Ovis aries: one gene and its partners. The protein of the gene in region 2 purifies or fractionates together with the protein of the main gene of each other region. This does not show direct contact. Links are inferred from orthologs where the notes say so. Each region holds a gene or a part of one and is shown on either strand. Other genes may lie near its edges. The genes, in order: ARID1B, ACTL6A, DPF3, PHF10, BRD8, SMARCC1 and SMARCD3.

Region 1 (3,500 bases), on a different chromosome or scaffold from region 2:
TGCATGTCAGACACAGGAATTTGCTGTCACTAAACAACTCTTCAGGTCTAAGACCTCTTGTAAAATAGAAGGGGTTTTAAACATTAATTTGACCAGAGCATGTTTGTATAGAGACTTGTATCATCAAATCAGCACCTTAAACAGTGTTCCGCCATATGCGTGCCTCCGTCCTGCGCTCTCATCAGGAGCTTCCCAGCCCATCCGGTGGTGGAAGCCCTGGCCTCCTGGGAGGGGAGCTCAGTGAGGCCATACCAGCCCTGTCCTCAGAGGTTCTCCTGGAGGAGACCCAGACCAGCTGGAGGCTGGAGTGGGGTTCATCCAACGTCAGGTGTCAGGGGCACAGGTCAGAGTGAGGAGCCAAGCTCTGTGTGGAGGCTTTTCTGTAAAGTTAGGCCCAAGGGGTCTGTTTAGTCCCGGAGCCCTTCGGGCTGGCCCTCAGAGCGCTCTGTCACTTGTGGTGAGGTCTCCGGCCAGCTACACAAGCCATCCCTGTGATCTCCAAGCCCTCATTCCGTGCGGCCTGTGTGGTGGTCACCCTCGCCTTGCTCTCCCAAATCCACCTGGAGAATACCAGGAGAGGAGGATTGGTTTTTCCCCACGGAAGTTTTGAAGTACGTGAAAACAGACAGAGTACATGCAGTGGTTTGTGTAGTGCTGAACATCGCACCTAAACTGCTATCCGTGGACGTGGGAGCTTCCCATATTCATTTTGAAATGAACATTCCACCAGGTAATAACTATTTTGCCTAATTTAAGTGCGTGATTATACCTGTAAAAGCACATTAGTGTGATCTGTCTCTGAATTTTCAGAACTACAAGCGCCATATGGATGGCATGTACGGGCCTCCAGCCAAACGCCACGAGGGAGACATGTACAACATGCAGTATGGCAGCCAGCAGCAGGAGATGTACAACCAGTACGGGAGCTCCTACTCCGGCCCGGACCGGAGGCCCTTGCAGGGACAGTATCCATACCCCTACAACCGAGAGAGGATACAGGGCCCAGGGCAGATACAGCCGCACGCCATCCCGCCCCAGATGATGGGCGGCCCGATGCAGTCATCCTCCAGCGAAGGGCCTCAGCAGAGCATGTGGGCGACCCGCAATGATATGCCTTATCCCTACCAGAACAGGCAAGGCCCGGGCGGCCCCACGCAGGCCCCGCCTTACCCCGGCATGAACCGCACCGATGACATGATGGTCCCTGATCAGAGGATAAACCACGAGAGCCAGTGGCCTTCCCACGTCAGCCAGCGTCAGCCTTACATGTCCTCATCAGCCTCCATGCAGCCCATCACGCGCCCGCCTCAGTCGTCCTACCAGACGCCACCCTCACTGCCAAACCACATCTCCAGGGCGCCCAGCCCCGCCTCCTTCCAGCGCTCCCTGGAGAGCCGCATGTCTCCCAGCAAGTCCCCCTTCCTCCCCTCCATGAAGATGCAGAAGGTCCTGCCCACCGTCCCCACGTCCCAGGTCACCGGGCCGCCCCCCCAGCCGCCCCCCATCAGAAGGGAGATCACTTTCCCTCCTGGCTCCGTGGAAGCCTCACAGCCAGTCCTGAAACAAAGGCGAAAGATTACCTCAAAAGATATCGGTAAGCGTTCCCAAGGCTCTGCTCCTGAAATGATTTCCTGTTGCCATCTAGAATTTTAATTTTGGGTTAGATGTAGTTGGATAACCTCAAAGGGATGAAATTCTGTGACTGCAGACTATCAGGACGTGCTTTTGTGCAGGAGCAATAGTTGAAAGGCCCTCCTCTGAATTAAGGAGAGGGAGAATTAAAATGGATTTCTTGCATGTGAGTGTTTACTAGTGTGAGAGGGCAGAGCCCCAGGTGAGAGACGGGGACTTCTCAGTGACTGTGGACTGTATTTGGGGCTTAAAGATTTTATCTTAACCAAACACATCATCTCTGCCATGATGTGAGAACAGCTGTGAGGCTGATGGAACACTAGGGTGGCCTGAAAAAATTTGACAGCAAGCCACTCTGTAACTTTGGTAAGGACATACAGACAGTGAGTTCCCCTTGGAGCAAAACCAGAAAACTGACTATGCTGTATATATAGACATAATGTGCTCTATGGAACTTCACATGTGGATAGAATTTAGGTGATCCCTGCAGCACTGCTGATGGGGCCAAGGAACTCTCTCAGGTGAACACTGCTGTCACACGCTCATCCGGGTGGAATCTCCTAAATCCTAATTAGAGATTTGGAAAATCTGGGAATACACACAGTTTTTCTGCATTATTTTTGAAATACTTTTAACGCAGCTAAGGAAATAATAGAGTTCAGTTTTATCCAAACTTTTTTCCCAAAAATCTCAAAATCACATGACTCAAAGTTCTTTGCAGTGATGAGAAAATTAAATATTTTAAAGATATGACCAATGTTTTTAATCATTGGACATTAAGGGGCGGGGTAGGGGGAAGTAAGGAGTTCTACATAGAGGACGTGCTGGAGGCAAGAGAGAAACAGATCCTGGGCACCGTGTTACATATGGTAATATATATGTAAAAATAAGCATGTATTTGTGTATGTGTATAGATATTTAAGCAAATGTGTGTGTGTTACTCAGTCATGTCTGACTCTTTGTGACCCCCATGGGCTATAGCCTACCAGGCTCCTCTGTCCACGGGATTTTTCGGCAAGAATATTGGAGTGATCTGCCATTTCCTTCTCCAATTTAAGTAAATAAATGCATTTAAATTTGGAAAAAAATTCTTAGTGCATGTTATACCAGCCTAGGGAAACTTATGTTCCTGATTTTAAAATGAAATTTGCCTTTCTATTACACAAGTATTATGTGCCTCTCTTAGAAAATTTGAAAATTAGATGAAATTAAAATAAAAGTGGACACCCACGGCCCCTCCCACACAGGAGTTGGCATCTGGCCTGGCTGATGCTGTGGGGAGTTCCAGCTGCTCACACCATGTGCTTCCACCAGTTTCCTGAGACAGCTTCCCTTGAAATTTCAGACACACGACAGGCCTCCCCTCCAGCCCCATCTTGTGACAAATCTTAAAAACTTTTCCTCTCATCGTTCCTCTTGGCCTCCATCTCAGGCCAGGCTCCTAAAAAACCAGAACCATCAAAATGCTAGCACTTGTCAGCAGCATGCTCTGTGGTCCAGAGCTCAGACAGAAAACGGCATGGAAGAATGAAAGCTTTCTATCAGTGAGCATGCTGTTTGGGAATTAAATTTTGCTTATATTCTACATATTCACCAGCCTTCTGAAGATACTACCTTGACACATTTGTGAATAGAGTCAAAGATGACAAATACAGAAAGAATCATTCCCACTTCTGTTTAACCTGCAAAGCAGAAAGCTCTTCACCCACAGAAGTTTCTTAGTCAGTTGTCAACCTCCACGTGAAATGACCATGTTTAATTGTCCCTTGGAACCTTTGTTTAAATCAATATTTTAACTTAACATTCTGCTTTTTCTTATTCTTTTGTTATGTTCTATTCTTTCATGTGTAGAGTTAATATTAATCATG
Region 2 (4,290 bases):
ATATTTCAATTAAAAAAATTTTTTTAATTAACATTAAAACAAAAACAAGGCAGGGTAATTTGGCCCTGGGGCCATACTTTGCTGACTTATGCATTATCTCATTGGGTAAACGATGTTTCTAAATGATTGGGATACCCTGATGCTGGGAAAGATTGAAGGCAGGAGGAGAAGGGAAGGCCAGAGAATGAGATGGTTGGATGGCATCACCATCTGGTGATGCAGAAGGAAATGGCAACCCACTCCAGTGCTCTTGCCTGGAAAATCCCATGGACGGAGGAGTCTGGTAGGCTACAGTCCATGGGGTCCCAGAGAGTCGGACACAACTGAGCAACTTCATTTCACTTCACTGACTGGATGAACATGAGTTTGAGCAAACTCTAGGAGATGGTGAGGGACAGGGAAGCCTGGTGGGCTGCAGTCCATGCAGTTACAAAGAATCAAACACGATTTAGTGAGTGAACAACAACCGAGATTACACTAAGTGAATAGTAAAGGGTTTTCTCACTAGCCTTGTTCCCTATCCTACAATCACTTTCTGCCACTCTGTGGCACTGAGATTGATGGAGTTAATCAATTGTTCTTAAAAACTACCTATATGTCTAGACTCTAGACAAACTAATTTAAGGACGGCTATTAACCTCAAGGATTTACAACATGACCGTGATTTGGGAGTTTTTATAGATCAAGCTGCCTGCTAAGAGGCAAAGGGACAAATTGTTGTAGTAATCCTGGGAGAGGGACAACGGTGATCTGACTGGGTTGGTAGACACAGGGGACTAAGAACAGACCGTTCCGAGATGTGTTTAGGATTAGGTGCTCGCTCAGGTGAGGACTGATTACATTGTATTACACCTGCCTCACAGGATAAAAGGAATTGATGACACATTTTAAGCGCTACTAAAGTTAACTGGGATACTGTGTCATCTCCTTCTTTTAATTATTAGTAACCACTTTTAAAATTCCAGGGTCTTATCGGTTTGTCTGGTTTACTGATGCCCTCTACCCCAAAGTGGAGGATAACATTCAATTTTTTCAGTTAGTTGAAAATACTTTTTCTGAAAAAAATAAAAACAAAAAACAAAAAAACACCAACCCTCATTCACTACAAGCCCAAACCACGGGTACTCCTGGTGGAGACACTTTCTCAAATTCCAGACTTCTTTTTCAGAGGCTTAGCTTGCTCTACCGGATTCCCACCTCTCCTCCGCTCCCAGCTACATCCTGAGCCCGCCCCAGACTGTTGCCTCCAGCCTTCCTCCTCCCCCTCCAGCTCCCTCCGCCCCACTTTCCCTCCCACTAAAGAAGCCCCGCCTCCCCGGTTCCGCAACCCAACTCCTTCCCTCCTTCCGTCGCTTTCCTCTCTCCCCGCCCCTATGGCTGCCTTCGATTGGCTAAACTGGCTGTGCCGCGACAAGGCTGTAGCACAGCCTTATTTTTATTGGTTGAAGTGTAGCCGGGCCTCTTGTGATTGGCCGATAGCAGGAGACAGCAAGTGTGACTGCGTTCCGGGTGTGTGTGGCCGCCGCTTTGTTGCCTGAGGGGGGTGGTGGTGGAAGTTAAGGGAGTCGGGGGCTAGCGCTTCTGCAGACCCGCAGTCGCAGCCGTTGCAGTCATTTCGCCAGGTGGCCTTTACGAGTAGAAGTCTCGTCGACAGCAACCATGAGCGGCGGGGTATACGGGGGAGGTGAGTGCGGTCGGTCGGGAGAGCGCGCCTTTTTAGCTTGTGGGGTTTGTAACCGCCGCCCCCAGCCCTCCCCTTCCCGGCGGCCCTTCCGGTCTCCCCCTGGGGACCCCGGCCTCCCCGCCCTATCCCCGCCCCGCGCTCTGCCCGCCTCCGGAGCCCACCCGGCTCGGCGAGCGCTACAGGCGCCGGGAGTCGCCGCCCCCTACGGCCCCTTCCAGCCTCGGGCCGCCGAGGAGCCGACTTTTGGGGCTGCGCGCGGTCCGGGGCTGGTCGGGCAGCTCCACTCGCGGGCCAGGCCCGGAGAGCCGCGGCTGGAGTGACTGGCCGCAGGGTCACCTCTCTCCCAGCCGGCTCTGTCGCGGTGTGCGCGCCCGTTTAAAGTTGGGAGGTCCCAGCAGTTCGTCGGCGTGGCTGGAGGGTTTCCGCGGCGTCTCGGAGGTGGCACAGCGAGCCGCGAGGAGTGGAACTGATTGGAGGAGTCGTGGCCACTCAGGACACAGCCTCCTTCTCCATCCGCGCTCACGCAGCCTCACGCCTTTCAATAACTTCTCCCTATTTGTTGACTGTGGATGCTCCGGACTTATTCGTGGGCGACTCTGCACCGGCGTAATTTAGGAACATATGCAATTTAAGGTTGCTTAAAGATGGGTGGGCTCCTGTGTAGTGAAAGATTACCATGGGCCTGGGTTGTAATATCAGCCTCACCACTTAGTAAGCTCATTGGCCTTGGGTAAGTTACTTAACTTTTGCCAACTTCAGGTTCGTCGTTTGTAGAATGATAATTCCTACCCATTGGGGTGGTTGTGAAGATTAAACGGCGGTAATGCTGCACTTACTACTAAAAGTATGATCCAAGGAGCAGCAGCAGCAGCATCACCTGCAAGCTCTTTAGAAATGTAAAATCTCAAGCCCCACTCTAAATCTACCGAATTGGAGCCTCCGTTTTTTCGAGATGCTTAGATGAAGCATTGATGTATATGATTCATGTTTTTGATGAATTAGAGAAGAAAGAAACTCAAAGTCGTGCTTTTGTTACTGTGTTCAGTAAGGATACTGTTTTCTGAGCGGATGGAATATTATAGGTAGGAGATGAAAATAAGCTTTTCAAAGTTTTTAGTAGTTTTGAAGTGAAGCTTGAGTTTCTGCTCAGGTGACACGCTGGCCCTCACCCTCTCCTTCTCCATATATGTTTTTGGTTTTGATTTCTGAAGTGTAAGAATCAGTTTTCCATTGTTACTTTGGAGAAAGCCTAGTGGATCTTCATGATTTACTTTTTCCCCACCTGAAGATGTAATTCTGACAAAAAAGCTGAGTATACGTGCTCGTGGAGGCTGCAGACTCTATTTTTTGTTTTGTTTCGTTTTTGGCCTCACCATACAGCCTGTGGGATCTTAGTCTCCAGATCAGGGACAGAACCAAGCCCCCTGCGTGGGAACCACAGAGTCTTAATTACTGGACCACTAGGGAAGTCCCTCTCCAGTGTTCTTGCCTGGAGAATCCCAGGGAGGGGCGAGCCTGGTGGGCTGCTGTCTATGGGGAAGTCCCTGCTGATTGTTTTGACTCTCAGGTTCACTCATCTAAGGACCTAAAGGTTGTCCACTGAGTATTTTAATGTGAGTAAGGTAGAAATGGATACCAATAATTGCAACAGTCAACATTTATTGAGTGCATCCTGTGTACCAGGAACTGTTCTTCATGACAGAGGCTTGTAATGCATTGTATTTAATACATGCATTGTCAGTTAATCCACAACAGCCATGGGAGGTGGTTCTACTTTTCCCCATATTACTAAAGAAGAAAATAAGGCATAGAAAAGATTAACCAGCCTAGAGTTACATAACTTTCTAGCAAATGGGCAACAGGAACTTCTGGGATAAAGAAAAGGCATTTCAGTAAAACCTTTTCTCATTAAAAAAATTTTAAGTCATTTTTCAAGTATATAACCACAGCATATTCATGTATGATTTAGATATTCAGAATAAACATCACTTTGTTCATGTAGAGGAGTATATCTTAAAGCCTGTTTCACATATAAAGTATTTAAAACTGACAAAAATAAGTGTATGATTTTGTGTTTGAGCTGCTACTGTATGACCAGTATTTATAGTGGGTCACATTTCCCAAAAGGTTTACTGTAAAAGGCAACGAAACCTCCCACCCACATTTTGTGTGTAATTAACTTAGTAAACTGTATTTTTAACTAACTTGCTTATAAAATGAATGTTTGTAGTTTAATTTTTAAAATTGGTAGCTCTTTTATTCCAGTGTTTTTTTCCTGATCAGACCTAACACTCCGCTTTAGATCTAATGCACAGTTCATCCAGATTTTCACACTTTCCATAACTGGTTTCTGGGCCTACTCATTGCTCCTGTGTCTATCTTACACGGTACTCCTCTGCTTCAGTCTCCTTTCCTTGACAGAAATAAACAGGTATACTACCGGTCCATCTTCGATACTTCATTACTTTTATCATTCCACAGCCCCCCTTCCCATCTCTAATCATAAAAACTTCTCAAAATCATTCTCCCTGTGAATTGGGGCACCCTTGTCCAAACAAAAAAGTAAAACAGCCTTCTTACCTCTTCGCAAAGTCAGCTTCCAGTAT
Region 3 (3,981 bases), on a different chromosome or scaffold from region 2:
TGCCTAAGAACCACCTTCTCCATCTGCTTCTGGTTGCCACTGGGGTGAGGGCGGGGGGAAGCCTTAAATTCTCTAAACTTCATTAGCACACATTATTTTTCAGTGGGAAGCATGTCTGGTTTTGATGAGATACCCATAAAGGTTATTAATTTCTGCCAGAACCCAAATGGAGGCATCGCCACAGAGAACTGCTGCGGTTGCAGACCACCTGGGAGACATTCAGAGGTCTCCAGTTGAATGGGAGTTGCTTAGTTCTAGAAAGTGGCCTGGAATTCAGAGGCAACTTAATTGGAGACTTCTCATCCTCCTTTGTCTTTTTGGAACCATGCAGGTGGCTGAAATTTAGGTACATCTGAGAAACACCATAATGTCTAAAGCTGTTCCAGAGCCATCTGCTCAGATCAGTGCAGAAAATAAAATGCCATGGTCAACCAAGCTTTGTTTTGAGCTTGCACCAGAAAAGGAAAAGAAACTGAGGCTAATGTTTCAGTTTTGAAAGTACAGCCATCCTGATTGTAGTGGTGCTGGGTGTGGGTCATGAAAAGCATCAGAATTCAGGCCTGTCTATTATCCCAACCTCTGCAAAGTAACTTTTGTGGTTTCTGAGTGTTCTGAAAGTCACTAGAAGACAAATGTAGCCCAATGTGGCAAGCCCCTGAAATGCCACAACCACTGAAACAGTTTTTGCCCAGCCATGGTTTTCCAGCAGGGGCCTATGTAAGCATGACCCTAGCATTAAATAATCTTTAAACATGTAGGTATTTAACAAGGAAAGATAAAGAAGTGGCCTGGGGAGAGGGGATACGGAGGGGATAGGTAAGTGGATAAAACTACTGTGTGGTCTGGAACTCTGAGAAGATGATTGTTTAACAGCAAGAGAGACTGATGTTATGATCTATTGCAAGTTCCAAAGTTTTCTTTAGTTGTGTGAGCAACTGGGGAGAGATGAGGTGTTGTGGTGTTTTTGTAATCTGTTTTTCTTATTGGTCCGGTTACTAGTGTTTCACAGTCTGTCAACCCATATGGATGAATGGAGCTAGCATCATAAAACTGTCACTGAAGGAAGGTTTTTGAAGCCTGTGATTTGCATCAGAGTTTTAAAAGCAGTGGCTAGGAGGTGTTTGGGTCAGGGGAGGGGAGAAGAGGAGCAACCTATGCTGGAAATGTCTAGGTTGTGTGTTTGTGAATAGTAGTAGTAGGTGGGGGGTTACAAGGAAAGCAGGCTAAGATTTAGGGGGCTGTGTTTGAAAGCAGGGAGGGGCAGGAGCTCCTAATAATAGGGTTCAAATAGCCCACGTTGAGACCTTCACCTCCAGGACTTAGTTCTGAGTCCAAGGAACAATGATGATACGTGTCTAATCCCCCTTTGCACCCTCTCCTCCCTCCTCGAGTCCAGAGCTTGCTGTCATCTTAGGTTGCTATGAAATGAGTGAGTTTTTCTCATTGTTGAATATTCACTTCAAAAATCTGCTGTGGTATTAACTTCAACTGGAAGCTCCACCAGAAAAGGTTTTTCAGTTCTCAAACTTTCACCAGTCATCCCTATGTCCTTATGTCAAACTCCATCCCTCTTATACTTTCTCACCAGTGACTATGCTTTTGTAGCTTCAGAAGTAAAAGCTTCAGGGAGAGGATCCCGGAGATTTGAGCTCAGTTTTCAGCCCTACTGCTCACCAGCTATGAGACCTTAGACCCAGAACTTCTCTGAGCCACATATTCCTTGTCTTAAAGGTGAGGGTGATGCACCTTGATTGCCAAATTCCTTTCCAGTAAAAAACTGGGGCCTCTTGACTATGGTGGATTAGGAAGGATGAGGAGGACAGTTAGGGACCAGTGTTTGAATTCCTCCTCATTTTTTAAGTGTGGCTCTAAAAGGGAGTTAAGACTGGTAGGCTCTCCTGTAGTTTCATCTTCTCTGGTTCCTGTCTTGCCACCTTCTGTTGCCACTGGGCTCTGATCTCTCTCTTCTCAGCGCCCAAGGCTGAGGGCCAGGTGGTGGCCCACTGAGAACGTGGTCTTTTCTTCTGATGCTCCCTTTTGAACACTTTTCTCCTCATTAACACTCCAACCAGGGGATGAAGACGGGAAAGAGAAATGAGAAGATTAATTGGCCTATTTTTTTCTGTTTACAAGCACTCAGATTATGTTTTTGGTTGTGCAAAAGACTAGAATTATTGAGAACATCTCTCTTTTTCTTCCTGTTTTGTGTAAATGTATGGTGGAAGAAAGGGAACCGAGCAAAAGATTTTCTTCTCTGGATTTCATTTATCTACAGTCTCCTTCAATCTACTGTTCTTCTAACATGGCACCCATCCCAGTTAACATGGAAATAAATGCTTACTTCATTTCCATTTGGGCAGTTGCAAATGCCCTACCATTCAGTGAACTGCAGTGGGTGGGCCTGTACTGATGTCTCAGTGAGCTTCCTCTGTTGCACCCCGTGATGCTGCTGAGGAAATGGAGGTGTTCAGTAGACACAGAGTCTGGCCTTACGCAGGTGAGTATTAGCAGTGTCTAAAGTGGAATTCACTGCCTCTCATTCAGTGATATGCCTCCAGAACATGCCAGATTCCTCTGGAGGCATTATTATCAGGCTTTCCTTTGGTTGACAGCTAGCTCCCTTGGCAATTTTCTACATGTCTAAAGGAGGAAGAGGGGGTTGTTAAAACCATCAGAACATTCACAGAAGCCTGAATTGTGAGAATTAGGCAAAATGAAAGAAAAAACAAAATGGTCTCCTTGACCTCCAGCCTACAGAGGCAGTCCCTTAAATTTTTTTGTACTTGTGGTAAGATGTATCAATACATAACATGTATATTTAGCATGTATGACATGTAGACATACCATTTTAGCCTTTTTTAAAGTGTTCAGTTCACTGGCATTAAGTACATTCATAGTGTTGTATAACTACCAGAATATTCTGTATTCATTTCCAGAATTTAAAAAGTCATCCTAAACACACTCTATATCCATTAAACAATAACATCCTCTGTTTTAATGAGGACATCCTCCTCCCACCCCATCCCAGTGTGGTAACCACCATTGTACTTTCTGTCTGTATGAATTTGCCTGTTCTAAGCACCTCATATGAGTGGAATCATACAATATCTGTCCTTTCGTGACTGGCTTATTGCACTTAGTATAGTGTTCTTAATGCTCATCTGTGTTACAGCATGTGTCAGGACTTCCTTCCTTTTTATGGCTGAGTAATAGTCCACTGTATATATATGCCTTATTTTGCTTATCCATGCATCCAGGGATGGGTCCTGGGGTTGTTTCCACCTTGTGGCGATTGTGAATAGTACTGCTATGAACATGGGTGTGTAAGTAGCTGTTTGAATCCCTGCTCTCAGTTCTTTGGGGTATATGCCTAGACCCCCCCTTCATTTTTAGACTCACTAAGATTCATGGAGTACATTTCTAGATAGTATAGGCAACTCCTTTCTTCTAAACTTAAAAAAAATACTCATGGCATCATAGAATTCAACCTCTTTACCTGCCTCCCACTTTAGGACTACCACTATTTTGGGGGTGGAGGATAAATGCCCCAGGAACTCAGAGACTCACTTCTTTTATCCCCAGCCAGAGGATTGCCTTCATCTTGTCACCACCCCCCCACCCCCAACCCGTTGAGGGCAGGGACTCCCTTGGGGTCAGGGTCTGGATATGGGGAGGCCCCAGAGGCTGCAGCACTAGTTGTCACCTGGTGGGGCTGGAGCGAAGGTTTCCCAGGCAGTGGAGGTCTCATCAGGCAGCAGGTGTTCCTGCTGGAAACACCTGGGATGACAGGACAGCTTGAAGGTCAGGAGGTAGTAAATCTGACCTATCTTTTCATAAGGGGAGAAGGGCATGCATCTCATTTGGCCTCCCTTCCCTGCGCTAAGCCCTGCTTACCACCCCCTGAAGGGCCCAAATGAAACAATGGATGTGAAAACACTTCAGAAAGTGTAAAGTACAAATGGGAGGTGTTACTAGAGCTGC
Region 4 (3,500 bases), on a different chromosome or scaffold from region 2:
TCTTTCCTAAATATATTAGTACAGCTTTTTAATATAAAACCATGGGAGTTCATCTCGACAATTGGTATAATCTCATACTATGAGTTTAAAAAACTGTTGGTATGACTCACGTGTGTGCTGATGCTTTTGGTGAAATTTGAATTGGTTCTATAATATTTCTAGTAAACTGGATTTGAAGGCTAAGAATGGAAGCATATTGATAAAGCCTTTGTTTTTCTCACCTGATACCCTGTTAATTGCCAGTGGTTAGTGTGTGTTATTATTTAGCTCTTGTTTCTAGTAAAGGGATATATGTTTGTATATAGTACATGGAGTCTTAAAGAAGTTTGGTTAAAAAATTGATTTCTTTGCCATTGCAACTTTGGTAATCTCTTTCTTTATAACTTTGATTTTATATTATGAGTATTATTTTTTCTTATTTTTGAGTATATTAAAATAAAATTTTGCTTTGAATATTGGAAAGCTTCTTTTATGTTGAGTAGTTTGGAGGAAACTCAGTTTTGAAAATCAGTATGTTCAGTTAGCTTTAAAAGAGCCTCTGTACTTTTTTTGTCTGAAATAGGTTTAACAGCGTTGCGCAGTGATGAAGTAATTGACTTAATGATAAAAGAATATCCAGCAAAGCATGCCGAATACTCTGTTATTCTCCAGGAAAAAGAGCGCCAGCGAATCACAGATCACTACAAAGAGTATTCTGTAAGTATCGAGGTAACCAGGATTTTGGCTTGGGAAATCACATTTTATAAAGTTAGATGTAACTTCCAACTGTAATATTTTTATTTCAGCAAATGCAACAACAGAATACTCAGAAAGTTGAAGCCAGCAAAGTGCCTGAGTACATTAAGAAAGCTGCGAGGAAAGCAGCTGAATTTAACAGCAACTTAAATCGGGAGCGAATGGAGGAGAGAAGAGCTTATTTCGACCTGCAGACGCACGTAGGGTCGCTAACGGTCACCAGCCCTGAGCTTGACTGGCCGCCCGTGACCTTGGGCTGCTGAGTGCCGCTTTCGCGGTGCCCTGCACTGGCAGCGTGTCCTCGCCTCCCCTGAACCGAGGCTGCCGTCTGTGTGCCTGCTGCTGTGTGCCTCTCATCGGCGTGTGTGATGTGTTCCCTGCTGGGTGGTGGGCGTGCTGCTGCAGGGGTCTGGTAGCTGAATAGCTTCCCGTGTGCTGGGGTGGACGGAAGAGGTTTCCACGGTAGCTCATGCACTTCTTGCCCTTGCTGCGGGAGGTGAAACTAGTACTGTTTCCGTTTCATGGACGAGGCAGCTGAGCTCCAAAGGCTTCTTGAGTAGCCCATACGCGGTGAGCAGACATACTGCCTCTCCTCAGTGGCCGTGGTGAACAGCCAGACACGTCCGCCTGTAGAGCTAGAAGTGCCAGCTGGTCCCTGGGTTACAGCTCCTGGGAGAAGCGCAGTGCAGGGCAGGGGGGCCTAGTTTCCTAAAGGCGTTACCTCTGTGCTTGGAATCAGGTTTGTGCTTCTCTTTGTGTTAATTCAGGTTATCCAGGTGCCTCAAGGGAAGTACAAAGTGCTACCGACAGAGCGAACCAAGGTCAGCTCCTACCCGGTGGCCCTCATCCCCGGACAGTTCCAGGAATACTACAAAAGGTACCTGCTGGGGCTTTCTTTGCTGTTAGTACTGGGGTTGGTGAGAGACGTCACGGCCTGTGTTTGTCTCCTGGAAGTGCCTAGCTCTGTGAGCTTCGCTGTGAGAGGTGTAAGGTTCTTGCCGGGGTTCTCTGTCTTCTGCGGGTCTGTGAAGAATGTTCTCTGAACTTGAGCGTCTGCTGCTAAAGCCTGGGACGCTGCCTCCCTGCTCACCTGTCTGTGCTTCTGGGACGAGAACCCGGGGGAGCTGCAGACCGCCGTCCCGAGGGCGTGGCCCGGGGCCCAGCCGCGCTGGTTGGAGATGCCCAGGCTCCCCCCTGCAGCCGTGGAGTCTGTGCTCACAGAAGCAGGGGGACTTGGAGAGGCGGGAGTGGCCCATGGGGAGGAGGGCGGTGGCCCGGGGCTGCTGCTGCCCTGGCCTGGCTGCTGCCCCGCTTGGTGGCGAGGGTGCCGCGTGTCTCTCCTTCCCAGCCTCGATGGAACCAGCTACTTTTGTCAGTCTCAGCCTTTGCCTCCGGAGAACCCTTATGTTTTCAGGAGAGAGAATATTCTTTAGACAGTAGTATTTAAAATAGACCATAGTATTATACTTTTGAAAGTCAGACTGAAATCATAGTGTTACATAGTCCAAGCTTACTCAGCTCACCACACCTCACCTCTCATCTGAGAGACGGGCTTGAGGCAAGAAAGAGAGTTTATTTGGGGAGCTGGCTGACTGAGTAGATGGCAGGCTAGTGCCTCAAAATAACCATCTTCTGGGGTCTGGATGCCAGGTTCTTTTATACATCAGAAATGGAGGGAGGTGAGGAAGCAAAGGAAAAATGACCATTAATTAATCTTGCAAACATCTCCTAGAATGTCAAGTCTCAGGCAGGGGATGTGTTAATTTCTTCCCTCCTGCCATCTGTGGGTGGACCCCGCGTTCTGATTAAAGGCACTTTTTGTCACGTAGAGGGGTAGGGTCCTCTGAGATAGGACATTCTGTTTGATTATAATAACAAAAGAACGAAAAGCTAGTCAAACAGTTCAACATGGAGTCAGAATTGGCTGCTTCTCTGCAGCAGGGTGTCAGCAATTTAACATTTCTCGTTTTGGACGAAGCAGATTATTGGGTGATAGCCCTGTGTGCTCCCCCGCACCCCACCCTTTGCTTCCTGGTGGGATGTCTTGGTTGAGGAGGATGCTCATCCGTGTCCACTCCCGACTGAGGAGCCAGGGTGTGGCCGTGGTGTGGTCCTGCGGCGGCAGCGTGGACACGCTCAGCAGGCCACGTGCCGGCTGCCTGGGGAGGGGGTGGCCGGTCCCTAGTTTTAGAGGAAAGAGTGATCACGTTGGTTAGAATACCTGCTGCCCAAGTAGGTTTTAAATGCTGTGCTCCTGGAAACTGTGTTTCTGAAACGGTGTCTGAGCCGTGGCCCGCTGCGACTGCCCCGTGCTCGTTTATCTGACGCTCGCATCCGCTCTGTGAGGTGGACTTGCTGTCATGCCTGCTTCCCGTGTGAGGGCGAGGGGCTCACGCGCTGACGGCTCAGGATGGCGGAGGCGAGGGGGTCAGGCAGCTGGATTTTGTGCCTGGCTCTGTGTGGCCGCAGTTTCATCCTTCACTGCCGCCTTCACTGCTGATGCTTCTTTGACCGGGTTGTTGAGGGCAAAGGAGAGAGGCATTTATCTTCGATAATAAGATTCAAATGTATGCTTTACACGGTTAGGCGAAAAGACGTTTAGGCTTTTTACTGGTTACATGTCCCCATTTGAGCACCAAAGTGAAAAAATTATTTATTGCCTCTAATCATTTTTCAGAAGTATTTGGGATTAATATTAAGGCTGTTATCATTGTTCAGAATTAGTGCATTTCTCTTTAATAACAGAAGAAAACTGGAAACCTTCT
Region 5 (3,500 bases), on a different chromosome or scaffold from region 2:
TTCTTTTCAGTGTAGCATAGGAGTGAAAAACCCAGTCTTGTACATTAGACAGATCTGAGTTTAATATGATTTTACTTAAAACTTTGAACCATGATCCTTAGTTTTCTGATTTGTAGAATAGAGATAAAAGTTGATTCAAGCTTGTTTAAAAGATTTTGTTGAGATAATACCTAGAAAACATTTAGTTCAGTGCCATGTATATGGTAACTACTCAGTAGATATTAAATATTGGCTCTTAGCTTGTCTCTCCCCAATACACAAATTCCATGCCAGAATTTGTATTACATATTATACAAATACATATTTGTATTCTGTATTATGGTGTTGATTGTTTTGAACTGATTTGATTGCAAAGTAATTTGTCCTAAGCTACTCATACCTTAAATATAGCTCTCCTGTCTAAACCTTAGTGTATTATGTTGAAATTTTAAAAAGTCGTCCGTTTTTAGGCTTGGTCATCATGTTTTCACTTTTTCCACAGCACTGTGCTTCCCAGTACTCAGAGCTTCTAGAGACCACGGAGACCCCAAAGTGAGTACAGAGCCAGGCATTTGAACCAAATCTCTTTAGTGGAGAATATTTACTGTAGAAGTCTGCTTTTTTTTAAAACAAAGAAATTATTTATATTATGGTATGAAAAAATTGTAAAAATATAATAGTAATAATCTTTGGTTATGTGGTGAAGATGCCTCAAAGAAAGCAAGTGGGAGTAGAAATAACGTTCTTCTTATTCAAGTCTGTATGTGTTTTTTAAAATTTTCCATAGGCGGAAACGGGGTGAAAAGGGAGAAGTGGTAGAAACTGTTGAAGATGTCATTGTTCGGAAACTGACTGCTGAGCGAGTTGAGGAACTAAAGAAAGTGATAAAAGAAACCCAGGAAAAATATAGGTACATACCAGAGAGAATGCAAAATGGTTGGGAGAGACAAATGGGGCTACCTTACTCTAGTCAGAAATTTTTAAATAGATTGAAAAACCTAGTCTACCCACCTCTCATCCTACAGACGACTGAAAAGAGATGCAGAACTAATTCAAGCTGGGCACATGGACAGCAGATTGGATGAACTTTGCAATGACATTGCGATGTGGGTTATATTATTTTTCCATCTATACTCCTTCTCTTTTTGCCCTCTTTACTCCTTATGTAATCTGGTTTATTTCCTACATCTGCTACCCCTTTAGACTTGAGAGATTTTTGGAAAGGGACAGCTGCAGAGTGGCCTGGAAGCTGGGAGGGGGTGGTGAGTCTTAGAAGGTAATGTGATAGAACATTTCACGTGAGAACATAACTTAGTTCTAACTTAAAAGTGGCTCTAGTTTGCTGAGGTAAAGAACTGGTAGTTAGGTAGTATACTCAAACTTCCCTATTTTGCTGATAAAGTTTGTGTGTGTGTGTGTTTTTTTTTTTCCTTTAGGCTTTTCCTCTAAAAAGAGCTAGCCTGGCAAAAAAAAATTTCCTTGTGAGGGCACTATGAACTGTGGAGGAGCTAGAGTCGGCTAGGATCTAACCCTTAATTTTCTCTTTAGGAAAAAGAAACTGGAGGAAGAGGAGGCTGAAGTGAAGAGGAAGGCTACAGATGCAGCATATCAGGGTAAGGTGAACCTAATGACTAGCAGTTGACTGTGCAGTACTGCATGTTGATGGCAGGCGGAAAATATTTGTTAACACAGAATCCACTAATTCCAATTTACTTGCACACTTTCCTTTGTCATCTTCTCTTTCATCAGAATAAAAGTGTCCCTTTGTGTCCAGGAAGAAGCTCTTAGAAAGTGAGCTCTATTCAGAACTCACTTGACCTTGTGTTCTTTTAAGTACAAAAGCCTGATAATAACCTACTGAACATAAACAAGGTTTTAGAAGTCAGATTCTGTAAAAAGACTGAGAATAGCTCAGTCACTGGATAAGGGGGGAAACTTAAGCATTTATAACTCCAGGATTACATGCTCTGAACCAATAAGGTCTTTCCTTGTTTAAAGCAGAATCTCAAGTTGTTGTAGAGGATACTGAAGGATGTTTAAACTACTTTCCTACTCTAGGAACTTTTACGGTATACGAATTTGCTCATAGGAAAAATTAGGCTAAAAACTTGCAAAGAAAGCTTTCTAATCTAGATTCTTAACACTGCTTTAGTAATACAACATCTCTATTTGTCTTTTGTTGTATAATAGCAGAGTCTAGTTTTATTTTTTTAATCTTGAAGACAGAAATCCTTTTTTATGTTCTAGCCCGTCAAGCAGTAAAAACACCCCCTCGGAGGTTACCTACTGTGATGGTCCGCTCTCCTATAGATTCTGCCTCCCCTGGAGGTGATTATCCACTTGCGGACTTGACTGCAACCACTATGGAAGAGGCCGCCTCTGGGGTGAGTGTATTTCCATCCACAGGAATTGATCAGCAAGGGGCAATAAGCCAGCTGAGAGCTGAGTAATGAGGAAACCACTTTTGGCTTAAAGACTGTTTCCTCTCTTGGTCTGAATGCTGAAGACTCATCATGTTCTGTGCTTTAGGATAAGAATGGACCTAAAAACATTGAGCCTTTTGAACCGTTCTTAGAAATAGGTAAAAGACTAAGTTAAGGAATTACTTGTAAGTGTACTGGTCTTATGAAATTCTTGCTGAAATATAGGATGACTTCTTTGTAAATACAATATTGGTAGTGGGTAAGGAGTTTATAAAAGGCAAGTTGGGTGGAAAGATTGGGTCATTTTGGGTTTGAGTGGGTGGAAGAGAAAAATTTGGGAGGGAGAAAGGTGTGATTAAGAGCAAGAGGGGTTGAGGGTTTCTGGGCAGTTCCGCTCAGGACTAATACAGTAATAGTTAGATACACTAACCCATCCAGATTAGTAGGGAACCTTCCTGAGTTTGAGAAGTCAGATAAAGGTTCTCTGTTGTCTCTTAGGTAACCCCTGGGACTTTGCCGAGTACCCCAGTCACCTCGTTTCCTGGAATTCCTGACACCCTTCCTCCAGGCTCTGCACCCTTAGAAGCCCCCATGACCCCAGTAACAGATGATTCACCCCAGAAAAAGATGCTTGGACAGAAAGCAACTCCACCCCCTTCCCCTCTGCTGTCAGAGCTCTTGAAGAAGGGCAGCCTCCTGCCTACTAGCCCCAGACTGGTATGGAGACTTCTGTGGGTGTTTGAGAGCTGTGGTGATTTAGTAATTTGGAAGGGAGTGCCTGGGACCTAAAATATAACCTAAAATATACATGGAAAAAAAGTTCAAAAGAGGAAGAGATCTCCTAGTTAAATGTTAATTTAAAAACAAAACAAGTAGTTGATAGTATCCTTGGGTCCTGAGGTATCTGAAACCATAATTATTTTGGTTCTCTTCTCCAGAGGACTCTTGTTCATAACATTTGAAAATTAGAGTTTCCCCGGGTCTACAATTATTTTCTTTGGATATTAACTTTTAGTTTCATGAAGTTTGGCCAACTGCTGGAGCTTTTTTTGGGAAGTGGTAATAAAGGAAAGCTTGAGTGTAGCCTTCGCCTTTGTT
Region 6 (3,500 bases), on a different chromosome or scaffold from region 2:
CACTTTTCCCCATCTCTTTAAATTTTGGTGCGTCCATGTGTGGCAAAAGTCTCATGAAACTTCACCATCAGCACCATTCTTAGCTCAGATAAGCAGAAATAAGGTCACTTACAATGCCTTAAGGTTTGTCCCCTCTGGCTATCCCCTCTGCCCATCAATATTTTTTGGTTCCTATTAACTTAGGATGCTCTCCTTTAAAGCAATAATGACCAAAAGGAAAAAAAAAGAAAAGTGATAATGATTATAAAGCATTATCCATATAAGCATAAGACAAAGCAAAAACAGAACAAAACTGCAGGAGAGCAAAAAATGATACAGACATAGACCACTAACGTTGACAGGACCTGCAGACACACTGTCAGCATACCCCACAGCGGGTCAGGGAGACGCCAGGTATTTCAGGGCGACCAGGGCACACTGGCAGCAGTGGCTTCCCCTTGAGTGCTGGAGGAGGACTAACACAGCAGGTGTCAGAGCACGGAGAGGGGTGGCAAGAGGAATGGGGAAAAGTCAGGGTGCGTGCTTGGGGCTGTGAGAAGAAAACTCCTGAAAGAAACCCAAGGAAGCGGAGGAACACAAGTCTTGTCATCCCCACTCCAGCTGGGGGCACTGGGCGCGGACGTCCCCTGTGTCTTTCGGGCTACGGTGCAGCTGAGGCTGGTGGGCCAGGAGCGGGAGGTGGAGGGCCTCCGTCCGCAGGTGCTGGAGGTGGTGGCTGCTGCTGCGGCGGAGGGGGATCTGCAAACACATCCAAAAGGAACTTGTCATTGCCGGAAACACAAGGGGCCTGGGCAAGAGCCCATGCAGAGAAACAGGACTTATAAAGGAAGTTTCTTTATGGCCTGTGAGGCACGGCTGCTGCTGAGGGCTACATGGGGCGGTCCACCTGAACCTCCACGTCACCACCTGTGTGGCTCCCCTGACCCACGCGGCTCGGGGGTGCGGAGGTGTCTGAGTCCGCCCCACTCTCAATCCCTCCAGACCTTTGCAGAACTTAATTATATTTTGATTTTATCATTATCTTAATGGTTCTCACTGCTAATTCTCTCTCTTCAGTTAAATGATAAGCTCCTTCCTGGACAAGTTCTGTGTCTTCTTTGCGTTCTCTCAGAGTGCCTAGCCTAGCTGGGGACGAAACTGCCTATCAGAAACTGCTGGCTTTTATGAACTGTCTCCACCAGGGTCACAGAGATTGACTTGAGGCAGCGGCCAACAAGCTGGATAGCCTGGAGAGGCCCCGCAACTCCTGAACTGTAGTCTTTAAATTTTTGGCCAAAACTAGGTCAGGTCCTGAAGGGAACAATTAGGAAAGGAGCTCTTTCCTATTTCTACTTTGACTGCTTTAGTGTACAAAGCAACCATAGAGATACTTCAATCCAGGGTTTTAAAAACTTCAAGATTTTGCCAGGGATGAAAACGAATTAAACAATTAAAGCACCTCCTTGCTTACCAGCTAATTCATCCAACCTTCCCCTCAGGAGGTGTCCACCCAATTGCTAAGGCTCTTCAAAGCGTTTTGAAGCCCACCGATTTACTCCCTAGTGTCACCTTTCAGGGGAGCAAAGTAAGGCCTGAAGAGGGAAGTGACTTGCCTGATGAGGCCTGCCCAATGCCCTGAAGCCAAATCAGCAGCTCAGGATCCCTGAAATTCATCTGGGGCAGGAAGTGATGGGGAGCACCCCAAACATTCCACACCCTCAAGGTACTGCACTGAGGGCCCTTCAGGATGGAATCATGTATACAAATCAGGTGTTATCAGCAGGACAGGACAGTGGTAAAGACCAATGATATTATGTTTGCAACGGGGATGGCAGCGTGGTCAACCCTCCCAGTCAGCCAGCACATTTTTACACTGCCTGTGGGGCAGCAAGGCTAGGAAAAGAGGTACGCACTAGACTATGATCTCTGATCCTTGATGTAACAACAAAGATCGCTTAAAAAAAAAAGTTTTTTTTATTTATTTGGTTGTACCGGATCATTAGCTGCAGGATCATGCATTAGTTGCATGCAGGATCATTAGTTGCAGCATGTGGGATCTAGTTCCCTGACCAGGGATCAAACCCGGGCCCCGTGCACTGGGAGCGCAGTATTAGCCACTGGACCACCAAGGAAGTCCCTCGTTTCTCAACAATGATCCTGTACTGACCTGGCTCAAGTGCTGTCTTTCTTCTGTGCACCTAAATCTGTCCTTGTTCCTAGGAGTCCAATGAGAAAGGAGATGCACCTGTGTTGATGGCACTTGTCTCCTGGCCCTAGGAAGTCTCCCAGAGAACTATAGTGAGCTCAAGCCACTCAATAGCCTTGTGTAACTTACGGTAAATCCTACACTACTATCCATTTGTTCATGTTTTATTTTCCCAACTAAAGCTCCTGGAGGCCAGGAATACCTCTGCATCCTAGCTCTCTGTATTGTATTATAAATTCATTATTATTACTTTATGTTTTTGTATTATAAATACATTATCATTTTATTATAAGCTGTATTACTATAAACAAACAGGGGCTGACTCCACCTCATGAGAACCCAGGTCCTCCTCTAAAAGGACCTGGGATCACAGATGTGGCGGGGTACATGGCCACTGTCAGCTGCATTTTGGAATCATTACCATGGTCCACAGGGTAAGAGGGCAGGCCAGGCTCTGATGCACCCCTTTGGAGGCCAGGGTTGGAGCAGAACAAGGGTTCCATGGCAAAACCGAGCTGGTTTTGCACACTGCCACAGACACTGTTCATCAGCATATGTGCCCGCTCGATGGAGCCCGCTAAGACTTCAAACTCCTTCTCAACACAGCCCTGAATACTCTTTTCTAAGTCTAAGCAGCCACTACCAATATATTGGACAAAAACTTATTATTATTCTTGCCCTAAACCAGACTCTATTCTTTTCTTTACACTTACCTCTTTTAAATCCTGAATCCATAAAAGGCTCCTGTACAGAAAATAACTACCAGTAGTTCTGTGTATCGACTCAGATTCAAATTAGATAGCCTCAAACAGGCATGGGTGAGGTGTGCCCTTGGCCTTGCCAGAGCCCTTGGTGTCACGAATGCATCCACGAAGGCTATGGAAGGCTCCTGACTAACTGGGAGCACTCTGTGCTCACCACCTGGGTACCTGTCCACCAGGGATGCTGAAGCGCAATGACCAAAGCCCAGGTTTCAGAAGCGCCCCTCACAGGCCATCCTGTCCAGGGATCTGTCACACCCCAGAGGGAACAAACGGTGCTTGCCTCCCTTGTGTACAGCTCTCCCCAAAAGTCCCGAGGGTAGTGCCTCCCCCCACCTGGGTACTTACACATGCCGTTAGGTGCCGTGAGGGGTACCCGGGGTCCTAAGATGTTTCCTGGGATTGGAGGCATACCAGGAGGGGTGGGGCCACTCCCAGGGGGGTGGATGCTGGCTGCAACGGTGGGCATCATGCGGCCTGGCATGGGCTGCCCAGGCATCATGGAACCTGGGCCTGGTATCTGACCTGTGGAGGGAGAGTCAGAGTACTAAGGT
Region 7 (3,468 bases), on a different chromosome or scaffold from region 2:
CTCGGGGTTCGGGGGGAGGCGTAGCTCCGCGCGCCTGGAGCCCGGAGCCCTGGTTCTGACCGCCGGGCGCCTGTGTCTGCTTCACGCCCCCCCGACCCCCCTCCCCAGCGCCCCGGGATGCCGTCTGGAGCCCGGATGCCCCACCAGGGGGCGCCCATGGGCCCCCCGGGCTCCCCGTACATGGGCAGCCCCGCCGTGCGACCCGGCCTGGCCCCCGCGGGCATGGAGCCCGCCCGCAAGCGAGCAGCGCCCCCGCCCGGCCAGAGCCAGGCCCAGAGCCAGGGCCAGCCGGTGCCCACCGCCCCCGCGCGGAGCCGCAGGTAAGCGGGGGTGGGGGTAGGGGGGGTGCCCAGCGCGGAGGGGGCGGACGCGGGACCCGGAGGGACGGGGTGGGAAGCCCGGGCGGAGAGGGGTCAGCAGGGATCAGGCGTCCCGGGTGGGATGCTTTCCCAGGAGGCGGGCTGAGGGGGCACTGTCCCGGTTTCTTTGTGTGCCCACACCGTGGAGACAGGCTGTGACCGTCGCGCCCTTCTCCTTGTCACCTGCTCTGTCCCTCTCTGCACCCCAGTCCCCTGGTTCTCGGGGGATGGAGGCGGGGCTGTGGCACCAGGGCTCAGGGCCGAGCTTTACACTGCGGTTCCTAGCGCGGTTGTCCAGTGCGCCTTCCTCAGAAGCGCCCCTGGCTTGACTCCTCGAAAGCCCCACTCCGGATCTTGTTAATCTGAATCCCTGGCCAGTGGCGGGAGAGCCTGGGATTTGCCCCATGGTGGGCAGTCTCTGCCCCCTGGCGCTCTCTGGTGATTCTTGGGCACTCAAATGTTGAGGAGTTGCCACGGTCTGTCTTCTGGACGGGTCTGCCCTCAAGCCACCAAGGGCCAGTCTGTTTCCTTGTCTGAGCCAGCCAGTGGCACCCCCAAAAGCCCCTGCTGGTGCCTGGCAAGGAAGATACCCCTCTGGGTTTCACTGTTTAGCCAAACACACATGCTTCCTTTTGCGCACCAGATGGAGTCCTATAAAAGGTGCAATGTGGATTTTACCTCATTATTAAATATTTTTTTACATGTCAAGGAAAATTCACCATTTATAGGAAACCCATGAGGAATTCTTTGCGAAGTGAGTCATTCTTTTGTAGAGTCCCTGATTTATCTTGTACAACTGGAGAGTTTCACAGAGATAGTTTCTTCAAAACAAACCAGACCTTTAGTGAAACCTGCTTGTCTAGCCTTGAATAGATTTTTGACCAGGGCTGGGGCAGTGGCTGAGACCACCACACGGGGGCAGTATGCAGCCATTCCCTAGGCTGGGTTCTAATTTCTACTCGCCAAGGGTTTTCTGGGGTTCCTTCTGGGAGTCGGAACCGGCTAGTGGATCCAGCAGAGTCCAAGTCCCAGCTGCTACCCCAGGTTCAGCCCACCAGCCACACCCCAGAGGGGAACATCCGTACCCACTCTATCTGGATACCTGTGGGTGTGTCCCTTGGCCCTGCTGGCAGGTGGTCCAAGGGCATGAGCACCCCCTGCCCATCAGGGTCCCCTTCCTAGCCCAGGGTGGCTGGGGTGCTGGTCCTCACCAGCTTCACACCATCACTTCCTGCTTCTGGAATGGGGCAAGGGGGTCAGCTCCCCTCCCCACCAGCTCAGCCACCTTGGATTGTGTGCCCCTTCTCAGAGGAGGGAAAAAAAGTCCTCACAATGCATCCCCCCACTCTGTCCTTGCCTCTGCCCAGCTTTCCCCAAACATTTCTGCAGCGCCCCTGCTCCGAGCCCCTTCCAAGGCTAATTTCTCTGGATCTGGGGATGTGGCGGGGCAGAAAAGGGGCTCCCAGGCCAGAGAAAGGACAGAGTCACCTCCGCTCCCCATGAGAGGACAGAGCCACACACGGCCGGCGCCGGCATAGCCCCTCGGGCGGGCAGATGAGCGGGCTGTGGGAACCCCAGCCAGGCGGGCTGAGATGTCGGGATAATTTAGCAGGTGGCCTCGTTACTCCCAGATCTGTCGCCATGGTAACCTGGTTTTTTCTTTAAAAAATGTACAGTGCCAAGAGGAGGAAGATGGCTGACAAAATCCTCCCTCAAAGGGTGAGTGCCTTTCACAGCAGCCCCCAGCCCACCCCACCCCCAACCCTTTGCTGCTCCGCCCTCCTCTCCCCCCCACTCCCCGCCACCACCACCCCGGGCCACCTCCCCTCCCCCCTCAGGAGCAGCGCTTCAACATCATAGTCACTTTCACTTTTTTTGTTTAAAAAGCTAATTAAGAAATGAGGCTCCCCCAGGGCCAAAAGGATGGGGTGGGGCAGAGGGGAACGCAGAGCCAGAGGGGGTAGGATCCTGGGTCTGGGGGGGGGGGCTGCAGATCGAATTCCAGCGGTCTGCAGAGACATAAAGGCAGGGGACAAAGAGGGGCTGAGGGCTCGGGGACCACAGGCTGGCAGAGGAGAGAAGGGAACAGAAGCTGGCCGGAAGGCCCAGCAGCGTAAGGGGACCCAGGCCCAGCTGGGTCTGGAGGACGGCTGAGACCCCAGCTCGAGCAGAACATCTGGATGAGATGTCACTGTAGGCCCAAGCCGCGACATCTCCTGTCTCAGGGACCCCAGGGGCCCCTGACCACTTCACAGGTGCCCAAGGGAACCCAGAGGCTGTGCGACAGGGAAAGGACAGGATGAGGAGGTGAAGCCCTAAGCACCTGCTGGCCTCCATGGTTGCTTCGGCCTCCCCTAGTGATGAAATGCATGGATATCTCTAGTGGGAGCAGCAGTTTCATCCCTGTAACATCCAGGCCTTCATGGCTGGATTCAGAGGTCCCGTCTGCGCTGTCCAAGTTCCCTGCCCTGAATGTGGCCAGCTCCCTGCCCGCCACACTCGCACACTCCTGGGGCCACGTGACACCTGCACGTTCCAGCTGCAAGACTGGCTGAGCCCCTGGTTCCCTGCCTCGCTTCCTGCCCACTTCCAGATCCGGGAGTTGGTCCCGGAGTCCCAGGCTTACATGGACCTCCTGGCGTTTGAGAGGAAACTGGATCAGACCATCATGAGGAAGCGGGTGGACATCCAGGAGGCTCTGAAGCGGCCCATGAAGGTGCCTTGGGTTGGGGGTGGGGTGAGGGCGCCAAGTCCTAGTCCCTGAAAGGGAGAAGCCAGGGCTGGCCCCCTGGGAACTGGCTCTGTATGACACTGTTTATCTCTACAGCAAAAGCGCAAGCTGCGTCTTTATATCTCCAATACTTTTAACCCTGCGAAGCCCGATGCCGAGGATTCTGACGGCAGCATCGCCTCCTGGGAGCTGCGGGTGGAGGGGAAGCTCCTGGATGACGTACGTCCTGGCCCAGGTCTCTCCAGGTGTCCTGGGGTGGGTATGGGGCTGAGCTGAGGCCGGTACTGGATGTGTACACCGAGGGCTGGGGAAGTCAGCCCTGGCTGCGGGAGGGTGGTCCAGAGAGACGTGCCCAGGCCTGCTTCTGACTGTGTGGCC

Evidence for each region.
Region 1: the proteins of ACTL6A (region 2) and ARID1B purify together in Homo sapiens (affinity purification with mass spectrometry; 5 studies listed by BioGRID and IntAct, with this or other methods). This does not show direct contact. The link is inferred for Ovis aries from reciprocal best matches to the Homo sapiens genes ACTL6A and ARID1B.
Region 3: the proteins of ACTL6A (region 2) and DPF3 purify together in Homo sapiens (affinity purification with mass spectrometry; 4 studies listed by BioGRID and IntAct, counting the BioPlex papers as one, with this or other methods). This does not show direct contact. The link is inferred for Ovis aries from reciprocal best matches to the Homo sapiens genes ACTL6A and DPF3.
Region 4: the proteins of ACTL6A (region 2) and PHF10 purify together in Homo sapiens (affinity purification with mass spectrometry; 3 studies listed by BioGRID and IntAct, with this or other methods). This does not show direct contact. The link is inferred for Ovis aries from reciprocal best matches to the Homo sapiens genes ACTL6A and PHF10.
Region 5: the proteins of ACTL6A (region 2) and BRD8 fractionate together in Homo sapiens (co-fractionation; 4 studies listed by BioGRID and IntAct, with this or other methods). This does not show direct contact. The link is inferred for Ovis aries from reciprocal best matches to the Homo sapiens genes ACTL6A and BRD8.
Region 6: the proteins of ACTL6A (region 2) and SMARCC1 fractionate together in Homo sapiens (co-fractionation; 8 studies listed by BioGRID and IntAct, with this or other methods). This does not show direct contact. The link is inferred for Ovis aries from reciprocal best matches to the Homo sapiens genes ACTL6A and SMARCC1.
Region 7: the proteins of ACTL6A (region 2) and SMARCD3 purify together in Homo sapiens (affinity purification with mass spectrometry; 3 studies listed by BioGRID and IntAct, with this or other methods). This does not show direct contact. The link is inferred for Ovis aries from reciprocal best matches to the Homo sapiens genes ACTL6A and SMARCD3.

What each region holds. Positions count from the first base shown.
Region 1 is NC_056061.1:81,578,612-81,582,111, forward strand, and holds part of ARID1B (AT-rich interactive domain-containing protein 1B), read left to right. Parts: intron 1-810; coding exon 811-1,594; intron 1,595-3,500. UniProt on the Homo sapiens protein: Involved in transcriptional activation and repression of select genes by chromatin remodeling (alteration of DNA-nucleosome topology).
Region 2 is NC_056054.1:208,341,945-208,346,234, reverse strand, and holds the start of ACTL6A (actin-like protein 6A), read left to right. Parts: upstream 1-1,490; 5' UTR 1,491-1,659; coding exon 1,660-1,684; intron 1,685-4,290.
Region 3 is NC_056060.1:82,481,867-82,485,847, reverse strand, and holds the start of DPF3 (zinc finger protein DPF3), read left to right. Parts: upstream 1-1,181; 5' UTR 1,182-3,981. UniProt on the Homo sapiens protein: Belongs to the neuron-specific chromatin remodeling complex (nBAF complex).
Region 4 is NC_056061.1:91,178,691-91,182,190, reverse strand, and holds part of PHF10 (PHD finger protein 10), read left to right. Parts: intron 1-562; coding exon 563-696; intron 697-785; coding exon 786-935; intron 936-1,502; coding exon 1,503-1,616; intron 1,617-3,500. UniProt on the Homo sapiens protein: Involved in transcription activity regulation by chromatin remodeling. Belongs to the neural progenitors-specific chromatin remodeling complex (npBAF complex) and is required for the proliferation of neural progenitors.
Region 5 is NC_056058.1:47,263,308-47,266,807, reverse strand, and holds part of BRD8 (bromodomain-containing protein 8), read left to right. Parts: intron 1-481; coding exon 482-531; intron 532-766; coding exon 767-889; intron 890-1,004; coding exon 1,005-1,085; intron 1,086-1,527; coding exon 1,528-1,592; intron 1,593-2,226; coding exon 2,227-2,363; intron 2,364-2,900; coding exon 2,901-3,119; intron 3,120-3,500. UniProt on the Homo sapiens protein: May act as a coactivator during transcriptional activation by hormone-activated nuclear receptors (NR). Isoform 2 stimulates transcriptional activation by AR/DHTR, ESR1/NR3A1, RXRA/NR2B1 and THRB/ERBA2.
Region 6 is NC_056072.1:52,090,186-52,093,685, reverse strand, and holds part of SMARCC1 (SWI/SNF complex subunit SMARCC1), read right to left. Parts: intron 3,472-3,500; coding exon 3,295-3,471; intron 739-3,294; coding exon 641-738; 3' UTR 1-640. UniProt on the Homo sapiens protein: Involved in transcriptional activation and repression of select genes by chromatin remodeling (alteration of DNA-nucleosome topology).
Region 7 is NC_056057.1:115,434,475-115,437,942, reverse strand, and holds part of SMARCD3 (SWI/SNF-related matrix-associated actin-dependent regulator of chromatin subfamily D member 3), read left to right. Parts: intron 1-108; coding exon 109-320; intron 321-2,035; coding exon 2,036-2,078; intron 2,079-2,952; coding exon 2,953-3,075; intron 3,076-3,186; coding exon 3,187-3,309; intron 3,310-3,468. UniProt on the Homo sapiens protein: Involved in transcriptional activation and repression of select genes by chromatin remodeling (alteration of DNA-nucleosome topology).